Linked DNA regions of Arabidopsis thaliana. The protein of the gene in region 3 purifies or fractionates together with the protein of the main gene of each other region. This does not show direct contact. Each region holds a gene or a part of one and is shown on either strand. Other genes may lie near its edges. The genes, in order: GYRA, FIB1, NOP56 and FKBP53.

What was found.
Region 1: the proteins of NOP56 (region 3) and GYRA fractionate together in Arabidopsis thaliana (co-fractionation; one large-scale study listed by BioGRID). This does not show direct contact.
Region 2: the proteins of NOP56 (region 3) and FIB1 fractionate together in Arabidopsis thaliana (co-fractionation; one large-scale study listed by BioGRID). This does not show direct contact.
Region 4: the proteins of NOP56 (region 3) and FKBP53 fractionate together in Arabidopsis thaliana (co-fractionation; one large-scale study listed by BioGRID). This does not show direct contact.

Annotation. Positions count from the first base shown.
Region 1 is NC_003074.8:3,340,338-3,347,878, reverse strand, and holds the start of GYRA (DNA GYRASE A), read left to right. Parts: upstream 1-1,518; 5' UTR 1,519-1,635; coding exon 1,636-2,060; intron 2,061-2,154; coding exon 2,155-2,224; intron 2,225-2,322; coding exon 2,323-2,388; intron 2,389-2,502; coding exon 2,503-2,604; intron 2,605-2,792; coding exon 2,793-2,837; intron 2,838-2,913; coding exon 2,914-3,012; intron 3,013-3,151; coding exon 3,152-3,238; intron 3,239-3,371; coding exon 3,372-3,442; intron 3,443-3,930; coding exon 3,931-4,039; intron 4,040-4,144; coding exon 4,145-4,207; intron 4,208-4,356; coding exon 4,357-4,422; intron 4,423-4,517; coding exon 4,518-4,606; intron 4,607-4,807; coding exon 4,808-4,856; intron 4,857-5,009; coding exon 5,010-5,096; intron 5,097-5,197; coding exon 5,198-5,291; intron 5,292-5,676; coding exon 5,677-5,747; intron 5,748-5,832; coding exon 5,833-5,922; intron 5,923-6,312; coding exon 6,313-6,438; intron 6,439-6,524; coding exon 6,525-6,682; intron 6,683-6,780; and 7 more. Other genes in the region: GalAK (galacturonic acid kinase), read left to right, coding at 1-22, 185-225, 318-346, 441-510, 619-708, 843-1,090. UniProt on the Arabidopsis thaliana protein: A type II topoisomerase that negatively supercoils closed circular double-stranded DNA in an ATP-dependent manner.
Region 2 is NC_003076.8:21,292,378-21,297,348, forward strand, and holds FIB1 (fibrillarin 1), read left to right. Parts: upstream 1-1,769; 5' UTR 1,770-1,912; coding exon 1,913-1,931; intron 1,932-2,180; coding exon 2,181-2,488; intron 2,489-2,570; coding exon 2,571-2,666; intron 2,667-2,762; coding exon 2,763-2,840; intron 2,841-2,937; coding exon 2,938-3,114; intron 3,115-3,358; exon of another isoform or gene 3,359-3,432; intron 3,433-3,785; coding exon 3,786-3,854; intron 3,855-3,952; coding exon 3,953-4,132; 3' UTR 4,133-4,442; downstream 4,443-4,971. Other genes in the region: EDA41 (FBD, F-box and Leucine Rich Repeat domains containing protein), read right to left, coding at 1-317, 406-544, 639-1,079, 1,172-1,381; AT5G52480 (RNI-like superfamily protein), read right to left, coding at 4,541-4,971. UniProt on the Arabidopsis thaliana protein: S-adenosyl-L-methionine-dependent methyltransferase that has the ability to methylate both RNAs and proteins. Involved in pre-rRNA processing.
Region 3 is NC_003070.9:20,983,767-20,988,543, forward strand, and holds NOP56 (NOP56-like pre RNA processing ribonucleoprotein), read right to left. Parts: upstream 3,187-4,777; 5' UTR 3,128-3,186; coding exon 2,923-3,127; intron 2,673-2,922; coding exon 2,458-2,672; intron 2,366-2,457; coding exon 2,208-2,365; intron 2,126-2,207; coding exon 1,938-2,125; intron 1,842-1,937; coding exon 1,589-1,841; intron 1,506-1,588; coding exon 1,357-1,505; intron 1,268-1,356; coding exon 1,136-1,267; intron 1,047-1,135; coding exon 778-1,046; 3' UTR 637-777; coding exon of another isoform or gene 593-636; 3' UTR 569-592; coding exon of another isoform or gene 535-568; 3' UTR 507-534; downstream 1-506. Other genes in the region: AT1G56100 (Plant invertase/pectin methylesterase inhibitor superfamily protein), read right to left, coding at 1-213; AT1G56105 (uncharacterized protein), read left to right, coding at 1-116, 145-221, 288-343, 535-568, 593-636; AT1G56120 (Leucine-rich repeat transmembrane protein kinase), read right to left, coding at 3,522-3,893, 3,982-4,132, 4,214-4,445, 4,528-4,738.
Region 4 is NC_003075.7:12,958,820-12,964,327, forward strand, and holds FKBP53 (FK506 BINDING PROTEIN 53), read right to left. Parts: upstream 3,953-5,508; 5' UTR 3,814-3,952; coding exon 3,801-3,813; intron 3,717-3,800; coding exon 3,643-3,716; intron 3,520-3,642; coding exon 3,272-3,519; intron 3,165-3,271; coding exon 3,022-3,164; intron 2,752-3,021; coding exon 2,448-2,751; intron 2,353-2,447; coding exon 2,185-2,352; intron 1,984-2,184; coding exon 1,761-1,983; intron 1,389-1,760; coding exon 1,301-1,388; intron 1,195-1,300; coding exon 1,153-1,194; intron 1,076-1,152; coding exon of another isoform or gene 1,060-1,075; coding exon 1,011-1,059; intron 920-1,010; coding exon 838-919; 3' UTR 530-837; downstream 1-529. Other genes in the region: SHB1 (EXS (ERD1/XPR1/SYG1) family protein), read right to left, coding at 4,563-4,665, 4,743-4,879, 4,970-5,401, 5,482-5,508. UniProt on the Arabidopsis thaliana protein: PPIases accelerate the folding of proteins. It catalyzes the cis-trans isomerization of proline imidic peptide bonds in oligopeptides. Histone chaperone possibly involved in H3/H4 deposition to the nucleosome.

The DNA.
Region 1 (7,541 bases), on a different chromosome or scaffold from region 3:
AGGCAGCAAAAGTTCTTTTGACGTATGTGCAAATCTGTTTGATTCATATTTATCTACATTTTCGCTTATTTAGATTTAAATTTCAGTGGAAATGCTGCAAAGTTTATTTCTCTATTGCTTGTGATACTCATTTTTCTGCATCACAAGATTCACACCCTTCTCTTGATTTACTTTTTCTTTTCAGTGCATCTGGGAACAGTGAGCTGGAACCTACGTTGTGCAATGGTAAAAAAACTTTAAGTGTGGACTTTAACTTATTCGTTGCATGCTGATTAGTTTTTCTTTGTTGCCATGTCTCTAACTGTCCCACTGAATAGTTGAGCATGCGGTCTATGAAGCTCACAAGGTAAGAAAATAAGATTCTTAAGCTTTTGGTAAAACAGGTTCCACCTATATCAGGCCTATGTAAATATGTAATACAATAATACTTGTTCGTGCAGCATGAGCTGAAACCGGTTTTAGCTAAAAGAGCAGAGCATTATTTCTCGGAGAACATGCGAGTTATCAAAGGCAAATGTTCTTGAATTCTTGTAGATGTCTCTTTATGTGCATGAATGATTCATTAAGCTCTTTATGATGCTTAACGGACTTTTATGAATGTTTGTTCTTAAATTTCAGGACGGGAAGCCTGGGCTTCAGGGAATCTTGAAGAATTTGGAAAGCTAATTTCAGCATCCGGCTTGAGTTCCATTGAGAATTACGAATGCGGTACATTACACTCTCTTTTCTTCTCTCCCAAATGCAACATATCCTATAGTGAATACAGACCACTAGTATGCTTACAGACATTATTCTCTCTTAGATTCATTATTTTGGTTTTAAATTCTGTGAGTTTTGTGAAGGTGCGGAGCCACTGATCCAGCTATACAAGATTCTTCTGAAGGCTCCTGGTGTATATGGAGCTAGATTCAGCGGTGCAGGTTTCAGGGGATGTTGTCTAGCCTTTGTAGATGCAGAAAAAGCTGAGGCAGCTGCTTCATATGTGAAGGATGAATATGAAAAGGCCCAACCCGAGTTTGCTAACAATCTAAATGGAGGAAAACCTGTTCTCATCTGTGAAGCAGGTGACGCTGCTCGTGTTCTTCTCTGATCAATCCTGGAGTTTTTGGTTTCTTCCCCACTTAAACTCGATTTTTTTGTCCCTTATATCTCTCACGCTTATTGATTCTTTGCTTGTTTATCTCTTTTTGATCCTGTCTGAGAAATTCTCTGGTCTCTTTGGTCGGAGTTTCATCATTGCTTGATACATTTTTTTTGCTACAAATACATAATGTAAATCATTCTCTACCGTTTTCGAGTCGATAGAAGAATCGCAAACTTCAAAAATGTGACTAACATTTCTCCATAAATTTGTTAAATTTTCAACAATTGGTGAATTTAGTTCTGTAATTGATCTAACAAAGACACTATACAAGTATGAAATTAGAAATTGAAATCGAAAGTTAGTTATTATAATCTTGTTTGTATAAAATAGTGTATATCTCAAATAGAGATACAGATTAGTTTTTTGTTTGGACACAAAGACCCCCGCCAAAGTATTGAAATTCGCGCCTGAGAAATTCTCCGGTGTGGCTCTCTAGGGTTTTAGCACTTTAATCCATTTGTACTTGTAAAAATCCCTAAAACCCTCTGGGCATGACTCCAGTATTATGCCATTCCACTGCTTCAATCCCTAACCCTAACTCTCTCATGTCTCTCTCCTCCACTCTCCGTCTCTCTTCCTCCCTTCTTCGCCGCTCCTTCTTCCGATTCCCCCTCACCGACCCATTATGCCGTCTCCGCCGCACTGAACCCTCCGCCACGCGTTTCTTCTCCTCCCGTACTCCTCGGTCCGGCAAATTCGTTGTCGGTGCTGGTAAGCGCGGAGATGAGCAGGTCAAGGAAGAGTCCGGAGCTAACAATGGCGGTTTGGTTGTTTCTGGGGACGAATCTCGTATTGTGCCTTTTGAGCTACATAAGGAAGCTACTGAGTCGTATATGTCGTATGCGCTCTCTGTTTTGCTTGGACGTGCTTTGCCTGATGTTAGAGACGGACTAAAACCAGTACATCGGAGAATTCTGTTGAGTGACTTTCGTTCGGCTCAAAGCTACTGATATTTTTAAGCTTAGTCAGTGGTATTGTTCCTTCTAATGTTCGATTATTTTGTCTTCCAGCTTTGCAATGCATGAGTTGGGGATGTCATCTAAAAAACCATACAAGAAATGTGCAAGAGTTGTTGGAGAGGTATATTATTGATTTTTGGAAAGTGTTTTCTCAGTCGATTTCTCTAAATATCTTATTCTGAAGAACGATTTGTGCTGTTGAATTCTTTGGGTTTTCAGGTTCTTGGTAAATTCCATCCGCATGGAGATACTGCTGTTTATGATTCTCTTGTTAGGATGGCTCAGGTAAATATCTGAATTCATGGAATGTAGTCCAGTCCTCAAATAATGTTTCAGGCACGATTCGATTCTTCCCAAACTTCTGACTTTTTTGTTTTAATACCTTTGTTTTTTTGGCAGAGTTTCTCCTTGAGATGTCCACTTATCCAAGGCCATGGAAATTTTGGCTCAATAGATGCAGATCCTCCTGCTGCTATGCGTTACACTGAATGCAGACTCGATGTGAGTGCCTTTTACCTTACTTTCCCTTCTAGTTGAAATGGTTTTCCCTGCAATTCACTTTTTCTAGTTGTTTCACTTGTCTTTGCTATCTATAGTGTATCTCTCATCTCTACTTTTTCTCTTGTCTTGAGATGAACATGTATTTTTGTCAGTGTTTTCAGCTGATTGTACTTATTTTTTTTCTGCAGCCACTGGCAGAGGCAGTACTATTGTCTGATCTGGATCAAGATACGGTAACCTCACTATTAATTTGTTGCCAAGTTTACCGATACTCAACTAGATGGTCCTTAACCTCTTTTGTTTTGGCAGGTGGATTTTGTGGCCAATTTTGATAACTCACAAAAAGAACCAGCAGTGTTGCCTGCTCGTCTTCCTGCTTTGTTGTTGAATGGAGCTTCTGGGATTGCGGTAAAATAATCAAACAAATCTTAAATCTGAACTCCTTAATAGATTTTGTTCGAGATTTCTTCAGTTAATCTTGTGCAGATTTTCCCTGCTGTATGAGATTGAATATGCAGTTGAATCTTGATCATTTCACATTGTTTAGGTTGGCATGGCAACAAATATTCCCCCTCATAATCTTGGGGAGTTGGTAGACGTGCTTTGCGCTTTAATCCATAATCCAGAAGCAACGGTATCACTCATCTCCCCTTTGTTTTTCTGTGATTTATCAATTTGTGGGTCTTTTGTTTTACATGAAAAATCCTCTGTTTTATAAGTAGACAACTCATAAGATTTTGTTTCCACTTTCTTCTTCGTCTGGGCAGCTGCAAGAACTGCTGGAATACATGCCTGCACCGGATTTTCCAACTGGAGGAATAATAATGGGAAACCTTGGGTAACTCTTTGCTTTCCAATTTCTCCCCAAAGGGATCTTATACATTAATGACTTTTGTTTGCCCACCTCGTTTGCTAATTTTTTGAGAGTAGGCTATCTATAGGATCAAATAGAAAGACTCACTTCTAAAGTGTGAAACTTTTTTTTTATGGAAATAGAAAAGCATTTTGTTTTGTTTTGATCTATGATTCTAACAGATTACAGAAGCTGTACCTATATCTTAAAAGGAACCTAGAAAATGAGTGAAGAGGATGGTCCAGTTAATAGTTTTCCTTTATTTGTCTGTCATATGCAGTTTTTGAATCATCATGTTTTTTTCTGATGGTGTGAGTGATTTTTTAATATTCTGAAAGCTTATATGTTGTGTAGTACATTTACTCTCGAGTTTGTTGAATACCTTTATTAAAAAAATAGTTTGCATTCATATGCCATTTCCTTTTACAATGTTGGATTCTTATAATTTTCTAATGTGTGTTTGCGCTTTCAAGGGTTTTGGATGCTTACCGAACTGGCCGAGGGCGAGTTGTAGTTAGAGGAAAAGCTGAAGTTGAATTGTTGGATCCAAAGACAAAGCGGAATGCAGTTATTATCACAGAGGTGATCAATTTAGTTTTTTAGATTAATGTTCAGATCTCCATGGATGAGGGTTTCAAAAATGTTTATTAGCAGTAGAGTAATGCCTTTAGTGTGACTTTATTGCAGATTCCTTACCAGACAAACAAAGCTACACTTGTCCAGAAGATTGCCGAACTTGTTGAAAATAAGGTACAACTAAACTTGCGACATCTAATGTTTATTTTGCTTCACTTAGCAATATGTACTTATTTTACTCAGAGGTGTGTTACATTTCTAGTATGTCCTTATATGCTTGCAAAGTTTCTTCTTTATTCATTGATGTTGGTGTTTGTTTTCAGACGCTAGAGGGCATAAGTGACATACGTGACGAGAGTGATCGTAATGGGATGCGTGTGGTTATTGAGGTATTACACTGTTTCCTCTGCACTTAGATGTATTAGTCTGCTTTAAAATTTCATATTGGAAGGTAATTAAGATAATTTCCAATACTTCTCTATAGCTCAAAAGAGGAGGGGATCCTGCACTTGTGCTTAATAATCTTTACCGGCATACTGCCCTTCAATCAAGCTTCAGCTGCAACATGGTGGGGTGAGTTGCATCAACCGATAACTTCTTATTTCCTGTACTTTTTTGAAGAGTGGGCATATAAAAGAACTTGGGCATTTTCCAGGATGACTAGTTGAAAATTCTCTAATGAGTATGTTATGCTTGTAAATATATTAAGGATCATGTATTCACATATGCGTTTTTCTTTATCGTAACTGGATTATGGTATTCTGTGTTTTACAGTATCTGCGATGGAGAACCCAAGCTAATGGGATTAAAAGAACTACTTCAGGTGACCACTTGTCTATGTAAATCATTTATCTACGTAGCCCACAAGGAGTAATAGAAAAGTGAAGATCAGAGATAGGATATTTACTTCTGTGCTACTGTAATCACATTTTAAAGTAAATTTGTTGATTACTTTCTGTTTCTTGCTTGTGTGTAGGCATTTATAGATTTCAGGTGTTCTGTCGTCGAAAGGCGTGCAAGATTCAAGCTTTCACATGCACAACAACGAAAGCATATTATTGAGGTGCGACTAGAAATATTTAACTTTCTTAAATCTGCTCGTGAAGACCATGATGTAATGATGTAAAGCATTTTTTCTAATATCTTCACTGTATATATGCTTAGGGTATTGTGGTTGGGCTTGACAATGTGGACGAAGTAATCGAACTCATCACGAAGGCCTCAAGTCATTCCTCTGCTACTGCTGCTTTACAAAGTGGTGAGCTATATTTTACTTTGACAATATAATCAATGTAACAATCTTGAACTGCACATTATAGGTTGATGTATAAACAGAATTCGGAAAAGTGAGCGAGAATTAGGAGTCAAAAAGTAGACTAGAGCCAATTTTTCTTAGGTGGACTGATAGATGTAGTCTAGGATGTACACTATTAAAAGAATACATCTTGTGGTGAACTCTTCCATATTACATTTGAACATTATATATTTCTTGTCTTTTTATCTGGAACTGCTGGAGTCTCATTCGTTGTAAGATTTGATCTTAATTGCAAAGATTTCTTAGGGATTTATGCTTTGTAAGTCTCTATTGTAAGGGACGATACCATATATTAAAATTAACACTTGTCAAACATTTACTTATGTAGAATATGGTCTTTCTGAGAAACAAGCTGAGGCTATACTGGAGATAACTCTTCGAAGGCTAACTGCTCTTGAGGTGCTTTCTTATTCTCGCTAAGTTCAATTTATGAAACTTGTAGGCTTGACAATGTTCTAACTAGATTCTCCCTTCATAAATGCAGCGGAAAAAGTTTACTGATGAAAGTAGTTCACTAACAGAGCAAATTACAAAGTTGGAGCAGCTATTATCAACCCGAACAAACATCCTAAAGGTGACACACTCACTTTTTAGTTATCTGTTCTTTTGGCTATTGATATTAGAAATTTAGAACACCTAGATGCTAGTAGAATGATAGATGCATCAATATATGTACTCCAAATTTGTAAGCTTGACTGTTTGAGTCCACTGAGGTTCAAAATCTAGTCCATGCATTATGATGTGGTATAAGGATTCAAATGCTTCTTCCATTTCTTGTTTGGTACTTATTTTTATATCTGTAAAGCTGCTTACTATATGTTGCTGTTCTGGGCCAATGTTAGGAAGATAACTGATACATGATGATTTTCTTGTAGACCAAAATTGAACTATTTGCTTCGTTTACTTCATTGTATATTACTTACTACTTTATTCTCTTCGTTGTTTTTCTTGTATTTTTCTTTAGTTAATCGAACAAGAAGCAATAGAGCTGAAGGACAGATTCTCAAGTCCCAGGCGTTCAATGTTGGAGGATTCTGACAGTGGTGATCTAGAAGATATAGATGTTATTCCAAATGAAGAGATGCTGATGGTATGTTGCATACTTAAACCTAGAAAGTTTCTCAACGTTGAAATTTTTGTTGTTTGTTTTGTAACTTTTGATATGGATGACTATAGGCAGTCAGCGAAAAGGGCTATGTGAAGAGAATGAAGGCCGATACATTCAATCTTCAGCATCGTGGAACAATTGGCAAATCTGTTGGGAAACTAAGAGTTGATGATGCAATGTCTGACTTTCTTGTTTGTCATGCACATGACCATGTCCTCTTTTTCAGGTATGTATACCTCAAAATTTCCTTTGTGTTTGCTACGCACATGGATATTAATTTTCTGCCTTGTTGTAATTCATTGCTTATACTTGTTGTACATTCAGTGACCGGGGTATAGTTTACTCAACCCGTGCATATAAAATTCCAGAATGCTCTCGCAATGCAGCTGGTACACCTTTGGTTCAGGTAATTACATATCTGTGTATCTATGTTTTCCTTCTGCTATGTCAAAAATTATTCAATTTTATGAAAGGCTAATGTTTTGCTGTGTTCATGTGACTTGTGGAAGCAGATATTATCCATGTCGGAAGGTGAAAGAGTAACCTCCATTGTTCCTGTTAGCGAGTTTGCTGAAGATCGCTACCTCCTGATGCTTACAGTGAATGGCTGCATCAAGAAAGTATCTTTGAAATTATTTTCAGGAATACGCTCAACTGGAATCATAGCAATTCAGTTGGTTTGTCCCCTTTTTCTTCTTAGTCATATAGGAAGTCTTCTTAACAAGGTTACTCTAACAAAATTATTTGTCTTCAGAATTCTGGTGATGAACTGAAATGGGTTCGTTGTTGCTCAAGCGACGATCTTGTAGCCATGGCATCCCAAAATGGAATGGTCGCCTTGAGTACATGTGATGGTGTAAGTTGTGGCTCTCATTTTTTCTAAATGATTCATCTTTCATGTAAACCTTTTAATACTTGAGCAAACTCTGATGGCTTTTGTTTGTTTAGGTTCGCACACTGAGCAGAAATACAAAGGGAGTGACTGCCATGAGACTCAAGAATGAGGATAAGATAGCGAGCATGGACATCATACCTGCATCTCTGCGGAAAGATATGGAAGAGAAGTCGGAAGATGCTTCACTTGT
Region 2 (4,971 bases), on a different chromosome or scaffold from region 3:
TTTAAACACAAGCGTAGACGTTGTTGAAACTCTAGGCATAGACTTTAAGACCGTTTCTATCACCTCTCTCTCTTCAAGATGGAAGGTTGATATCTCTCTCTTCAAGATTGAAGATTGAAAATGTTCCCATATAGATGTGACTGTCACTTTCTTTAAACACTTTGCATTAGCAAAAATGTATCTTATGAGCTGTGTCTCTTCTTCGTTTCCTCTATATCCATGCCACACAAACTCCTCATCTAAATGAGCCGACAAGCATCTGGGAACAGTACCTTGGTTGGTACCATGACAATGGGAGATTTCCGGGTCGATATCCACTTACCTGGATGCAAGTACATAAAAATCTATGAGGTGGAATCAAAGAATCAGTTTATACAACAAGGAGATTGCGTTGTTACTTGTTACTTACAGAAGTGATAGCAAGAAATCTTAGTTTAGGAGAGTTGTTGAGAATTAGTGGAATTATATCCAACCAGAGATGGCCATGTGGACATATCACTAATTTTCCAAGTCGAGTGAAGGTAAAGCCACGAAAATCCAGAGCCTTCAATGACTAAATCAAAAGCCAATATAAATCAATGTGATCAAACCTAACAGCCAAGAAGAAAAAAAACAATAATAATAAAAAGGATAGATACCATTGGATCTTCCAAAGGTAACACAAGATACGTGACCAAGGAAATAGCTTTGAGAAACTTGTCATCAGTATGACATACAACGTCGATATGTGGCTTTTCAAGGCGAAGCTTATGCACCTTCGCGAAACGGTAGTCCCGGTTATCACTGATGGCGAGGCCCACTTTCGATCGGGCAAGAACTGAGCAACTTGATATAAGCCTCTCTAGAGAATTTTCATCTTTGAACACCACATAAAAAAGGCGTAATATGTTGAGTGACGGGAGGCAAACCGAAGAAGGAACATCCACTATAATCTTGTCCGAAAGAGTCAATTCCACAAGTGTTTTGCATGTGTAAAGACTCTTAGGCAAGCTGGTAGGCTCTGCCGTCCAGTGGAGCTCTAACTCTAGCTTGCGCACAAAGCGATCAACTGCATTTGCAACTAATTTCCCAACATCTACCTCAATAGAAAATTTTTACCGAGTTGGATGCACAAAGTTTCTAGAAAAGGTGCCTTGTGAAGTTCCAATAACTTTTCAAGAAACTTCCACACGCTTTCGCATTCATCACCAGGATCACTGTACTCGAGTTTAGGCAACAACGTCCAGACATAACGCCATCGTTTTGACAATATCATTGTCCCAACTGCATCTTTGATCGGTACAAGCAACAAAATCTGGATAAGCAAATCGTCGGGCAACGAACTGATCTCGTCTCTAGAAGCAACAACCTCTTCATCAATTCTTTGACAACGTTCGGCCATTAGTGATGTAATAGCTAGCTGAGTTTGTGATAAAGATTTCAAATATAGGTAAGCAGAGACGAGGAGGAGCAAGTCGAACCCTAAAAACTTTAGATGATCGAGAACCTTAGATATATTCGTAATTTCTCTATGAGAAATTGAGAATAAGTGAATAACTAACTCTTCTTGTCTCACAAAAATAAAACCCTAACTTATCTTTTCCGTGAGACATAAACAAACCCACTTTGGGCCAATAAAATCGGCCCATTATTATCTTGACCCAATCCGGATCAAACCCAACTCCATACTTTGGAGTTTGGACCCATCGTTACCAATGTAGTAGACTAATGTAGTTAAGATATATATAATAGAAGGGCCTATTTATAAAATACAAGAAATGTTACCAAAGCATAAACCCTAAAAGCCCTAAAATCTTAATATATAAACCAACTCACAGAGACTCTAAAATCAGCCACCACCGCACATCTCTCTCCTTTGCCCTCGTTTTTTTTCGGTTCTCGTCTTTCGTTCTTCACTTTTAGACAAGCAAATATGAGACCCCCAGTTACAGGTAAGAACCTTAGTTAAAGTTTATGTCTTTCTTGTTCTGTCTGCCTCTAGAGTATAACCCTGTCCGTATCAAATCTGAATTCGTATCATTACGGTTTCTGTAGTTTGAATTGGTAGTTAGGGTTTTAATTCATGAGCCTTTTGTATCTTCACTGTTTCAATAAAGTTCAAAGATAAAAGTAGAGATTTTTAATAACACTCTGTTCTTCCGTTTAGTTAATTTTCTGTATGTTGGTATTGTTATAATCAGGAGGACGTGGTGGTGGAGGATTCAGAGGTGGAAGAGATGGTGGTGGAAGAGGTTTTGGAGGTGGAAGAAGCTTTGGAGGAGGCCGTAGTGGTGACAGAGGCCGTAGTGGGCCTCGCGGCAGAGGACGTGGTGCGCCTCGTGGTCGTGGAGGACCACCTCGTGGAGGAATGAAAGGAGGAAGCAAAGTGATTGTTGAGCCTCACAGACATGCGGGAGTGTTTATTGCTAAGGGTAAAGAAGATGCTCTTGTCACTAAGAATTTGGTTCCTGGTGAAGCTGTTTACAATGAGAAGAGAATCTCTGTTCAGGTATGAAGTTTGAGGATTGTTTTCTTTATAATTAAATTGAGTTTGTTTTTGTTCTTATATTATAGCTACTTCACTTTTGCAGAATGAAGATGGAACTAAGGTTGAATACAGAGTTTGGAATCCGTTTAGATCTAAGTTAGCTGCTGCAATTCTTGGTGGTGTCGACAACATTTGGATCGTAAGTCCATCTATACACATACCACATTGACTCTGTTTTCTTTTTTTGTATTGAAAGACATGTGCTTGAATTGGTTCTTTGTTAAAACTTTTGTAGAAACCTGGTGCCAAAGTTCTTTACTTGGGTGCTGCTTCTGGGACCACTGTCTCTCATGTTTCTGACCTCGTTGGCCCTGTAAGTCTTTCACTAAATTATTATTTTAGTTATCCGTAGGTCCATTTCTATCCTATGTTTGAGACTTATCTTTGTTCTATTGCTTTATGATTTGTAGGAGGGATGTGTTTATGCTGTTGAGTTTTCTCATAGAAGTGGTAGAGATTTGGTGAACATGGCCAAGAAGAGAACTAACGTTATTCCAATCATTGAAGATGCTAGACATCCGGCTAAGTACAGAATGCTCGTGGGCATGGTTGATGTCATATTCTCTGATGTTGCTCAGCCAGATCAGGTTTGGTTCTATATTTCTTACTATGAAAGTTTGAAGTTACCCTTTCTACAGTTTTATTCACAAAGGTTACGTCATATTGCATTGCATCTTTTGCTTTTAAAATATCAGTTCATTGAAATCGGCATATGATGACATTTCATTTACTATGAAATGTTTGAAGCCTTTTTATTTTACAGTTATATCTTCAAAGTTTTTTTTTATTGCATTGCATCTTTTGCTTTTAAAAAAATCAGTACAATGAAATCGGCAGATGATGATTTTACTTGGATTCCCCTTCAGAACATTTATGGGTGTTGCAAACTCCAAGCTTCTGATGCTACTTTGTATCTTTTTACTAAAATTTTTTACTTTGAACATGCAAATCTGTTTTAATCTCAAAGTTTTTATTTGTCTTCATTTGGTATATCTTATCGATTTGGAAGAAGTCTTTTCGGTTTCTTCTGGTTTTCAACAATTGCATTTTCAAGTCATTTAGAAGTTTTACTTTATTACTAAACTTGGAGACTCAATTGTTGTAGCAATATTGCTGAGCTAGCAGAGATTGCTCCAAGAAATCTGCAATGATTCCATAAATGTTTCTATGTTTATGTTAATGTCTCTCTTTATTCTCATTTTGGTTCTCTGTTTATGTTTTATTTAATTGAATCCATCTATTTGCCTAACTCTTGAAGGCAAGAATCTTGGCCCTGAATGCCTCATTTTTCCTCAAAACTGGTGGACACTTTGTTATCTCAATCAAGGTCAGTGCTCTTATCCTTAATCAAATTCAACAATGTTCTCCTCTGTTATTATTCAATTTGTATTTCCGTCGCTAAATAAACATGTCTCATCTGTTCAGGCCAACTGTATCGACTCTACAGTTGCAGCAGAAGCAGTCTTCCAGAGCGAGGTGAAGAAGCTGCAACAAGAGCAGTTTAAGCCAGCAGAACAGGTGACTCTCGAGCCGTTTGAGCGTGACCATGCCTGTGTTGTTGGTGGTTACCGCATGCCGAAGAAACAAAAGACCCCAGCCTCATAGAGGAACTGTGGACAGTAGTGCCTGTGTATTAAGACTTATTTACTGGGTTTTGTTTTTATCTCCTTGCTTGTTGTATTAAGCTAGAGATGGATAATGCTTTTATGTCTCATTTGGAAAATTTTATCCTCGTTTTAGAACTAATATATATTGATGCAACATTTTCGTCCAATGATTGTATCTCCATCAGTCTTTTCTATGCTTGTTTTTGCTTGGCTATAAGAACTACTGTCCATTTTAATCCTACTTGTTTCTGCATGCTGAATTGATTGTTGAAGTAGTTTGTTTTGAACATGATTATGCTCAAGAAAAGGCGTAAAAGTATCACTTAGCTCTGAAAGGAACTCATTTTTTTTTGGTTAATAAAATTTTAAACACAAACAAACCGACTAAGTGTTATTGACATAAGTCTCAATACAGTTTCAAGTAATATTCGGCTTCTTCCACTATTGGATCAAAGTTATAGGCGCCTTCTTCCATCGGTAGCGCATTTTTAAGTATTGCCAATTGGCGTGACCAATGAAAATAGTAAGTTTCAAAAGAAAACGGGTAATCAGCAGAGGTAGAATCATTGTGGCGTCTCAAATCTTTAATTTTCTCAAAACAACGCTTCTCTAGATTCCCGACAAGGTTGATACATTGGCGTAAATCGAGGTGTTCCAGGTGAGGACAACCGTCAAGAATGGCGTTTAAGCCTGTTTTGGTTAGTTTGTTCCCACAAAGCTGGAGATGGCGTAGTTTAGGCATGCTTTCTGCAATTGCTATGGCATCATGATCATCATCATCCGAACTTAAGTAAAAGAGGCGGTTTAGCATCAATGTCTTCAGATTTGGACAAGACA
Region 3 (4,777 bases):
GATGATATCGAGACGAGAGTCGAGACAGTGTATGATGATCTCGGCGATGCCAACACGGTCTGCATGAACGGAGGTTGGGTCGGATTCAAGACATTGCATGCAAATGGTCGGAACTTGTGCATTATGGCATTCCTCTTTCATCAGGTCCTTCTCGGCGCAAATCGGAGAGATCACGAGCAGAGCTAACAGGAGAAACTTGATCATTATCGTCATTATGCGAAGTATATTTCCTATGATTGATTATGTTATATTTCTTTGAGGGGTGTGAATTTCTTATTTGTACTAAGAATATGGGACTGGGAATGTGGTTGGTCACGAGTTTATCTATCCTTCTCAAAAGGAGGTAGCTCTATTGTTTACTTACACAAGTTTTAACATCTATTCAATTTTACCTTTTGTTAATGTTAACTGACCATTCAAACGCGAGCTGCTCTTCTTCTATTACTCCATTTGGGTAAAATAATAAATCATATGGCTCCAAATTCATTTTCACAAACTTGTTAAGCTAGTTTTCCAATTTGGTAGTTAGTTTAGCTATTATTGAAACATTTGCAAAGCACTGGAATTGGTAATTGTATTTTATAAAATGGAGGAGCCTCCTTCACGGTTGCAAACGTCAAAATAGTGAAAACCTAAACAAACTTAAGATATTGCCAAACCTTGAATCGTTTCCAGACCAAAACAAAAATTCTCCGATGTTCACTACGAAAAACAGACGACATTAATTTAGCTCAAAAAAAAAATACAATACAGGGTTTGTTAATGTTGCATCCCTTTCTATTCAGCGCTCTTAGACTTCTTCTTCTTCTTCTTGGTGCTGTGACCATCATCAGTCTCCTCTTCTCCTCCAGCTTTACTCTTCTTTGTCTTCTTCTTCTCTGATTTCTCGTTCTCCTCTGCAGTCTCCATCTTCCTCTTCTCTTTCTTCTTCTTTTTCTCTGACTTGTCCTCCTCCATTGCCACCACCTCTTCTTCTTCTTCACCCTTTGCCTTCTTCTTCTTGCTTTTCTTCACCGAGGCATCAACTGGCTCCTTCCCTTCCTCTTCTAAAGGAGGAACAGATAAAAAAACACTGAGTTTGCCATCATAAAGAGGACTCTGATTACAACCAAAAAAAAACAGCTACAAGAAATACCTTGCTTTAGATTCTCTATCACCTCCTTCATTACATCCACGTTCTTGCGTGGGGCAACACCTTTGTCATAAAATTCTAGCCTTTCCTCAACTTGTTCGCGAAGCTTCTCACCAAAAGCAGTAGTTGCACCATCTGCATAGGACATCAGGGCACATAATTTAACACTTTCACAACAGAATTCATAATCCAAAACTCTTCTTCAAGGAGTTTCAGATTTTTACCAGCAAAACAATCAATCCGGGATGCTATAGAGCACTTGTTTGCAAGATAACGAGCGATACGGCCCTTGTTCTTAGCAGATGCTCGGCCAATGAAGGAAGAATGGAAAATCAATCCATACTTGGGAGTGTTTCCACGTGTTTTAAGTGCCCTGAAATACCACAGCAGTTCATGTCACAAGCAGCACTAAAAGGAAACTGGTGAACATTAAAAATATAGTGCCAGATATTGCACCTGAAAAGAGCCTTCTCGGCTCCAAGAATCTGGAGGGTGGAAGATGGGCATTTAGCAAGGTTAGTCAGACTTCCAGCATGTGAAATCAAACGGGCACCGACCATTTCTCCAATCAAAGCAGCCAAATTAGGGGCAATGTCGCTCATCTTAGTGACAAGATAATCATAGAGCTTCTTCCTGTAGTCAGCAAGGTCCATAACTTTCTGAGCAAAGGTCTGTACGTTGATTAAGTCAAGCGGTGATAAATCCGAGCCTGCCAATAGGGAAGAGAGTAAATGTCTCAGGACATAAGTTAACAGAAACACACATTAACTCAAAGCTACCAAAAAAGTCAGCTCAAAATTTTTACCCATGGATGCTTTTCCAGCTTCGATGACCTCCTTTGCCTTATCTTCATCCCCTAAGACTTCAGTAAGCATGGGGATGTGATCTTCAGTCAACTTTGACTTGTCATCAATCATCTTTGAAACACGGGCGTAAAGATAGTTGTCATTGACTATCTTCACTAGTTCGGGGAAGTGCCACGAATACCATTCCCTGTAATAACATTATAAACAGTTCAGCTACCAATTTTCTCGAGGAAAACACACAATCTGAAAGGGAAAAGCACAAAACAAACCTGACTCTCATGGCAAAGGAATTGATATCCTTATCAAGCGTGTCAAGCATGAAGATAGCTTGAATAACCATGTTATCCACTCGGTTAACATTGAACTTCACCTTGGCTCTGCTGTAGCTGTGAGCTAATCCAAGCTGAGATTTTTCAAGATCACCAGGCTACATAAACAGAAATTTTTTATGAGAACACAAACCATATGAGATAAGCAAACAGACAAAAAGATTTTAAACACATAGAAAGGAGATCACACCTTTAAGTCCTTGATAAACCTATCAAAATGCTGGCGAACACCTCTGAGAAGCTCAAGAACAAACTCATTGCTCTGGCATGGGATTTTAGTAGCTTCAAATATATGTGAACCGAGTTTAGGCTCAGCCAATCCTAAACTGAACTTGGGTTTCTTTCCCTCCTTGACCTTAGGAAGATTCAACTCCAGAAAACTTCTAAGCTCATCAGTCATAACACCTACCAATATCACATTAAAACCAATTCCAAAAGCATCAATGACAAAACCAAAACAATGAAACAAAAACAGAACACAAAAACAAGAATCAACCATAAATTAAAGCTCTTTCTACAATATATCCAGGAAATTTGAACTATAAGGTTTTAAATCGAAGTGTCTACTCTAGCTCTAAATACAAGAACAAGCTACTCAACACAACACATGAATATACAGAACAAAGAATAAGAAGAGAGTAATGAAGAGTCTGACCTTCAGAGACGGCGTTGACTTGGTTGAGAGCATCGAGAGCAGACTCAAAGGGATGAAACGCTGTGAGCTGAACAACACGGCCAAAGCGACTGAGGTCGGAGACAGAAGTCCGAACCGCCTCAGTGTTCTGTCCGATCTCATCTAGTCCGTGAACCTCGAAGAGACCATAGCCGGAAGAAGACTCGTAGATAACATACATCGCCATTTTTTGAGGAGAAGAAACTAAAACCCTAAAGACCTACTGAGCGAGAAGAAATATACAACGAACGAAACTAGGGTTTCAGGGGTTTAATAAGCGCATCTGTTGATGGCGCTGCTCTTGAAAAATTCAATGGGCCAGGCCCATTTAACGGTGTGTTAGTTGTACTAGCTTATAAAATGCCCGGCCCATCACAACAGGTTAACTTTCTTTTTTTTTTTTTTTTTTTTTTTTTTTGGTCATCCTTGCAAGATATCAAAAGTTTGTTACAAAAATTGAAAAATTGTCAACTAAAATATTATTATTGAATGAAAGTGAAATCTGTTTCTCCACATCCTTATATAGAAGAAAATTGTCAACTTCCATATACAAGCATATCAAATTATAGAGGGGACAATCTTCATCTTCCCTCCTTGATCTTGAATCCAACCATTGGCTTCGATTCGCCGTCTCTAAGTGGCATCTCCGGGCCAGGCGCTATAAAGCTCGTCGAGAAGCTAGTGTCTTTCGTTTGAAAGTTGCTGAATGAGGAGCTTGTGGTGTCATCAAATGTACAGTCGGTTAGGTAGCCTGGCTTAGAGGTGGCATCATTGACCTCAGCATCTCCTGACAACATGGCTACTACTCGTGACATTGGTGGTCTCAACGCATAAGATGACTGAGTGCAAAGCAGAGCAATGCCAATCATGCGTTTCACTTCTTCCATGTTGTATTCACTTAGCTCATCATCTATTAGTTCAACGTCACGGTTTTTCTCGTGTAGATTCCATGCCTGTATACAAGAAATACAAAAGGATTATCGGCTTTTGTCATTTATCACACCATCTTCAACTTCGCCTATATGACAAATATAGACGTACCCATTCAAGAAGATATTTTTTTCCCTCTTCCAGGTTCTCATCAGAGTTTTTCCTTCCACTCACTAGCTCAAGAGCCACAACACCAAAGGCATACACATCTGTTTTCTCTGTTAGATGTCCACGCATGGCATACTCTGGCGCAAGATACCCACTGCATTGATACAACTAACATGAGCTATAAAGCCATAATTGTGTTGCAAACAAAATGTCAGGGTCTATGGATTTTGCTTACATCGTCCCTGCCACTCTGGTACTAATATGGGTTTTCTTGTCATCATATAGTTTTGCAAGCCCAAAATCAGAAACTTTTGGGACCAGTTCAGAGTCCAGTAAAATGTTGCTGGCCTTCACATCTCTGTGTATTATGCGAACACTTGCTTCCTCGTGGAGATAAACTAGACCTCTGGCTACTCCCAGACATATCTCATAACGGGTTGACCAATCAAGATGCAAACTCTTATCCCCTGTAACATCCAACCCAATGGCATAATGATTACTTTAGCTTGGCAGAAGCAGAGATAGGTAAGTCATGTTTCTGTTCATTACCAAATAATGCCTGATCGAGACTTCCATTAGGGAGATACTCATATACGAGCAAACGATGATCTCCTTCAAAGCAGCACCCGTAAAGTTTTACTAGGTTGCGATGTAGAACTGAAGAAATTGCAATAATTTCTGCAACAAATTGTCCCTTCCCTTGCCGTGATCCAATTGACAACTGCTTCACCGCCACCTCTCTTCCATCATTGAGGTTTCCCTGTTGAACGTGTTATTCAAAACAAAACGTATTAAAAGG
Region 4 (5,508 bases), on a different chromosome or scaffold from region 3:
GATTTAATTGTGTTGATGAACATCACATAAGGTTTTGTAAACAGAGGCATAATTGATAATTACATTTGCAAACTCTAAAGTTCACAATCATAGTCCATCAAATACTTAGGAGCCGAACATCAAAAATGAGAAATTCCAATTCTAAAAACATTAAGATATCAGAAACCAGAGGCCCGCCGTAGAGATTGCCATTGCGACGGAGAATAATGGTGACGTATGGTGGATCATCAATGTTACAAAAATAAAAAAATAAAAACGGGTCAAAAGGTCAGAAATAACAGTAAAAAAGAACTTGCAGAACAAGAAATAGGTCAAAGTCTTTCTGACGGTACAAAAATGACAAATTCGTCACGGTGATGATGGTGACGTAACTGTACCTGAGAGTAGAGAGACCTTGATTAGAGACTAGTGAGAGAGACTTTCCACAAATGAATCATTGAATACTAACTAATGAAGAAGAAACTATAATCACTTTATTTACACCAAAAAAAAGGGGTATTATTTACATTATTCAATTGAACGGATTCACGAGTCGGGGTTGTCGTTGCTATAAAATCTGGCTTAAAGTTGATTGGCCCCTTTTTGGGTTCAAGTCCATCTACTATGTAAACAGCATTTGTATGATTCCAATTTTTGGTTTTTAAGCAAGTGTAAAATAGGCCAACAAAAGCTATCTGGAAGAGGAAATCTGGGAAACAAATGCTATGGTCTTATCACTTGAAACACAAATCCATTTTTCAAAAAGATTCAAGTGTTAAAAAGGAAAGAAACAATCTTTTGCAGCTACAACACCATTCAGAAACCCCTCATCAGAGATTCTATGAATTCAGGGCAGTTTTATTGAACATTAATCAGTTCGACATCAAAAGTCAGCCAAGAATTAGGAGGAATCTGGCCACCAGCACCCTTCACACCATACCTGGGAGCCAAACAATATTATCATCCCATTAAAAAGGTTTAACAAAACATTGCTAATTCAAAATAACATAAATCAAAATGAGTTTACTTACCCCATTGATGGAGGAATTGTAAGCTTCCTTTTGTCACCAACGCGCATGCCTGTGGAATTCAAAAACTTGAGATGAATACAACACGATTCACTTTTTGAACAAAGTTATAAGTAAAAAAACAGTAAGAAATTAAGATATATACCATTAACTCCAACATCCCATCCCTTAATGACTGATCCAATACCTACACGTTACAATAAGAACATAAAGTATCACTTACACCAGCAATACACTGTAATTCTCAACCAATTTCCCAAGCTATTATCTTTGAATCTAGTTATAATACCAACCTAGACGAAACTTAAATGGTGATTTTCCAATGTTGGAATCGAAAATCTTCCCATTCTTCTGAAGTTTTCCAATATAGCGCACAGAAACCTGCACTCAGAGACAATAGAATGAGCTCCAAAAAGATTTGGGAAAACACACAAATACATTGATGCACTCTAATAGGATTTTGGATTCAAACCAAGTTCACAAAGACAATTAGCCAGAGTTAACCACAACTTAAGGGTTTGAGTGTTTGTAGGTTTTACAAGCCATTAGTTTGTTCACTTCCTATTTAATGTATATTCTTTGGTGCTCTTAGGTCTAAGTCTAACAAGGTATTACTTTGCTCACTTTCTATCTAGTGTCAATTCTTTCAACACCCACATTCTTATCACACTACCACCTTGTTGCATAATCTATATGAGATTGCAGTAACCATATGATATTATGTGTGCAATTTATGACTTTAAGTGTGCATACCGTTTTTCCAGGATCAGCTCTCTTGCCGTTGGGTTTTCCCATGCTCAACTCTTCAACAATGAGCCCATTTGGGTATGTCCGTACTTGAGAAGACTTGGAGTCCGCTGGGGTTTGCTTCTCAACAGTACCAGAAATTTCTGCAGCTTCGTCACTTGGTTTCTTCTTTTTCTTATTTTTAGTTTTCTTCTCAGCAGATTTATCTGGGGTCTTGGAGCTTTCACTCCTGCAATAATACCATAAAAAAGCACAGACTTTTGTTAGGAGAAAAAGTTTGAAAGAACCGCTGTATACTCATAAGCGTTTTTTACTTTGTGATCTATGTGAGTAATAATTCAAATACTTACTTACTGATATTTCACAAATGACATAAACACAATCTGTTATCACCAAAAAAGTTCTCAAATCAAGAAATAAGAGTTCTCACATGGCATTGTTTGCAGTTCCATCTTGAGCTTTTGTGTTTGAAGAAATTTGGCTAATATCCTGCTTCTTCAGAACATTTCCCGTCTGAACTTGTCCAGCTTCCTCATTTAAGACATTTTCCCCTTTCTTCTTCTCTTTCTGATTTTTCTTCTTTTTACTCTTGTTTGCACTGGAACAGATTTTAGAAACAACTTCGTATCCCCACGATATATAAAATATGTGAACTCTGTCCTCAGAGTCAATAGAGAGCAAAGAGAGTAGTACCTTTCTTGTCCATCATCTTGCTCAGCAGCCTTGGCCTTCCGTTTCTTGTTACTACCTTGTTCGTCATTATCTACAACCATCTTCTCACCTGACGCATTCTCTACTTCAGATGATTTTCCTTTAGGAATAGGTAAACCGTCTTCGTCTTCATCTTCGCTTTCCAAAACTGGAACATGGGCACCCTCTATGGCAACGATTTGTTTCTTTGCATTCTCACCTTCGCTAGCTTGACTCTTCTTCTTGGTTTGTTTTGCCTTATTATCTTTGGCAGGTTTCTCTTCATCTTCTATCTCCTCAATTATAACTAGCAAAGATATCATTCAGATTAGTTTTAACAGAACAAGGAAAGATCAATCATATAAACTATTAACACAAATGTAGAACAGGATCAGCACCAAGGAGACACACTTGTACAAAAGCTTAAATTTACGGACATACATTTGAAAAGTCTTTTATCAATATCTTTTTGAAACCTTCTAGTTATAAGACAAGAGTGACGAATCAAGCAATCACACTAAGCTAAAATGGAAGTACTAAGATGCAATCTGATAAGGATCTCTGTAAGAAAAAGTACCTCCACTCTTTGGGGCAGCAGCATTCCGATACCTTTCAAGATTGCTATCAAGGAAGTCTTCAAATTCATCCAATTGCTCATCCTCTTCACTATCATATTCACACGAATCGTCTTCCTCAGACTCACCAACATCAATACCATCTCTATAATATAGTCGCAATGAAAACATTAAGATTTCTAAACAGATGGAATAATAGAAAAACAAGAAAGCATTATTTGCTAAAGTAAACTAGTAACAATGAAAGGATACGAATCATCTTCATCATGCTCATAATCATCTTCATCGTCCTGATAATACTCCAAGAATCCAGACAAGTGGATACTTCTGTCACCAGTCACGGTGAATTCCACTGGCTCATCATCATCGTCAAACTCAAGATTCAGAGGGCAACATTCGATTTTGTTTGGCAACAATGAACACAAAGCAATAGGAGCCTTGTCTCCTATTGAACACTGAATCACACTCTTTTCTTTGCTCAAACCCGTACCTAGAGTTGCCTGAATGATGGCAAAACATACATACATCAATAGATATATCAAACATATTCAGATTCCAAAACTAGACTACACAAATATACAATTCATATCCCAAATCAGCTCGAAGGAACAAGAGTATAGTACCTGGGTCACGTGAATCTTTCCTTGTTCATTTTTTGGATTATAAGCTTGAGGCTTCCCAGGTTTCACTTCAAGTCCTGCATATGTTAACAACACAAAATCAGAACCTAGGAATCATGCTCCGGGAAAATCAAAGAAAACACTGAGCAGAGAAAACTAACCCCAGAATCCCATTTTCTCAGCTAGGTTACTCCTTGGAATCGAAGCGGCAACTTTGTTTCTACAGACTAAAACCCTAATCGAAGGTTTTTAGCAGACGAGCTTTATATCGAGATTAAAGCGGTTTCGAGAAATTTCGACAATTTGTGCAACCGCGCTCTCAGTTTGGGCCTTAACAGACTTTGAAATTCAATGAAGCCCCAATGAAGCCCCAATGAAGCCCATATATTGGTCTGTCATAAATCGTAAAGTAAATGGTATTGTCAAGATACTCTTCATATTTGATAACATTTAATTTGTGTTCATTATTTTACTAGAGTTAATTTGAAAAAAAAATCTATAATTTTCTCTCATGTAAACGCAAATTCAGAAATTTTGTTTTAAATAAAACAATATGAGACCTATCTTTCAACAAAACAATACAATATTGAGACCTAAACACACTGTACAATGACGTGAGTTTCTATCTTTCTTGTCAAAATCTGAAGTAAGTGTACAAAGTAATGTCTTTTTGTTGTATGTAACCAAGTTAGTTAAGTGTTTGTATCTCTTGTTACCAAGGAACGAAGAGATTTCCACTTGATTTCTCCATAATTCTACCATCGCTTAGGTCTGACCCTGAGAGTGAGCCAGCCTCGAGTTGGCTCTCTGAAGAATACAGCGGAGAGGCAAAGCTCGATCGTTACAGTTGTATACCGGAACAGCGGTGAAAAGTTTAGTTGTTGTTTAGGTAATTTTGTGAAACCAAGTATTTTCTTGTTAAGCTAATTGTTATGATGATCTCCATCTTCTTCGTAGTTGAACGGTAACGGGACAGTTTTGAACGCCCTGTATCTCCCAACGTTGTTCAAATGCTCATTCTCCAGCCTAATCAACAATTACATTTCATTAGTTTTGTGTAGATTCATGCATGAAAACACCATCTTCTCAGTCTCGGAGCTTACCTAAAGAAGTTCCAGATACCTCTGCGTATGATCTCAAGGCAAGCCATAAGCGCGACCATAGTTTCTCTATGCAAGAAAGAGAATTTCAGATCCAAAACTGTTTGCAACCACACTAACCTCAACAAAACATTCAGGACCTGCCAAGTACATGAAGCAACAATCTTCACCATATATGTATAAAGAAAAAACAAAAACAGAGGTTATTGCTGTTTTCTGTTTGCTCTCACCATTGCAGCGTAGTACACGGTTTTGTGAGGAACAAGAAGCTTGTCTCTCAAGAAACTATTCTTACATCCTCTTTGAAGCAATCCCCAGTCAAGAACAATGTCCCAGTAAGTTCCGTAAAACGTTGCAACTCCTGAGAAAACCCAAGCTGTGATATTCCAGTTGCTTCCTCGGTTTAGAGTATAAGCTGTTCTAAGAGAAGCAGCAACGATGGTCAAAAGGTATTTGATGCCATTGTAGCCATGACTCAGATCTCTGTCTTCCACCATTCTTCGGATGCACTGAAGAAACCGTAACCAGTAAGGTATAACGGCGACGATGAAGTAGAATGTTCTGAATCCAATATTTGATGTGCAGGTGTTTCGTCGTCTATATCTGAAATCTCCAAAACCATAGTAGCATATGTAGAACTCTAGACTCCTCAGTGCTTGAACCTAGCATTGATTGTTTAAATCAGAAATCATCGATCAAAATAAGTATGAAGCTATCTTATCGAGTATAGATTTTCTCGAACCTGGCTTGTTAGTTGATCTCCCAAGAA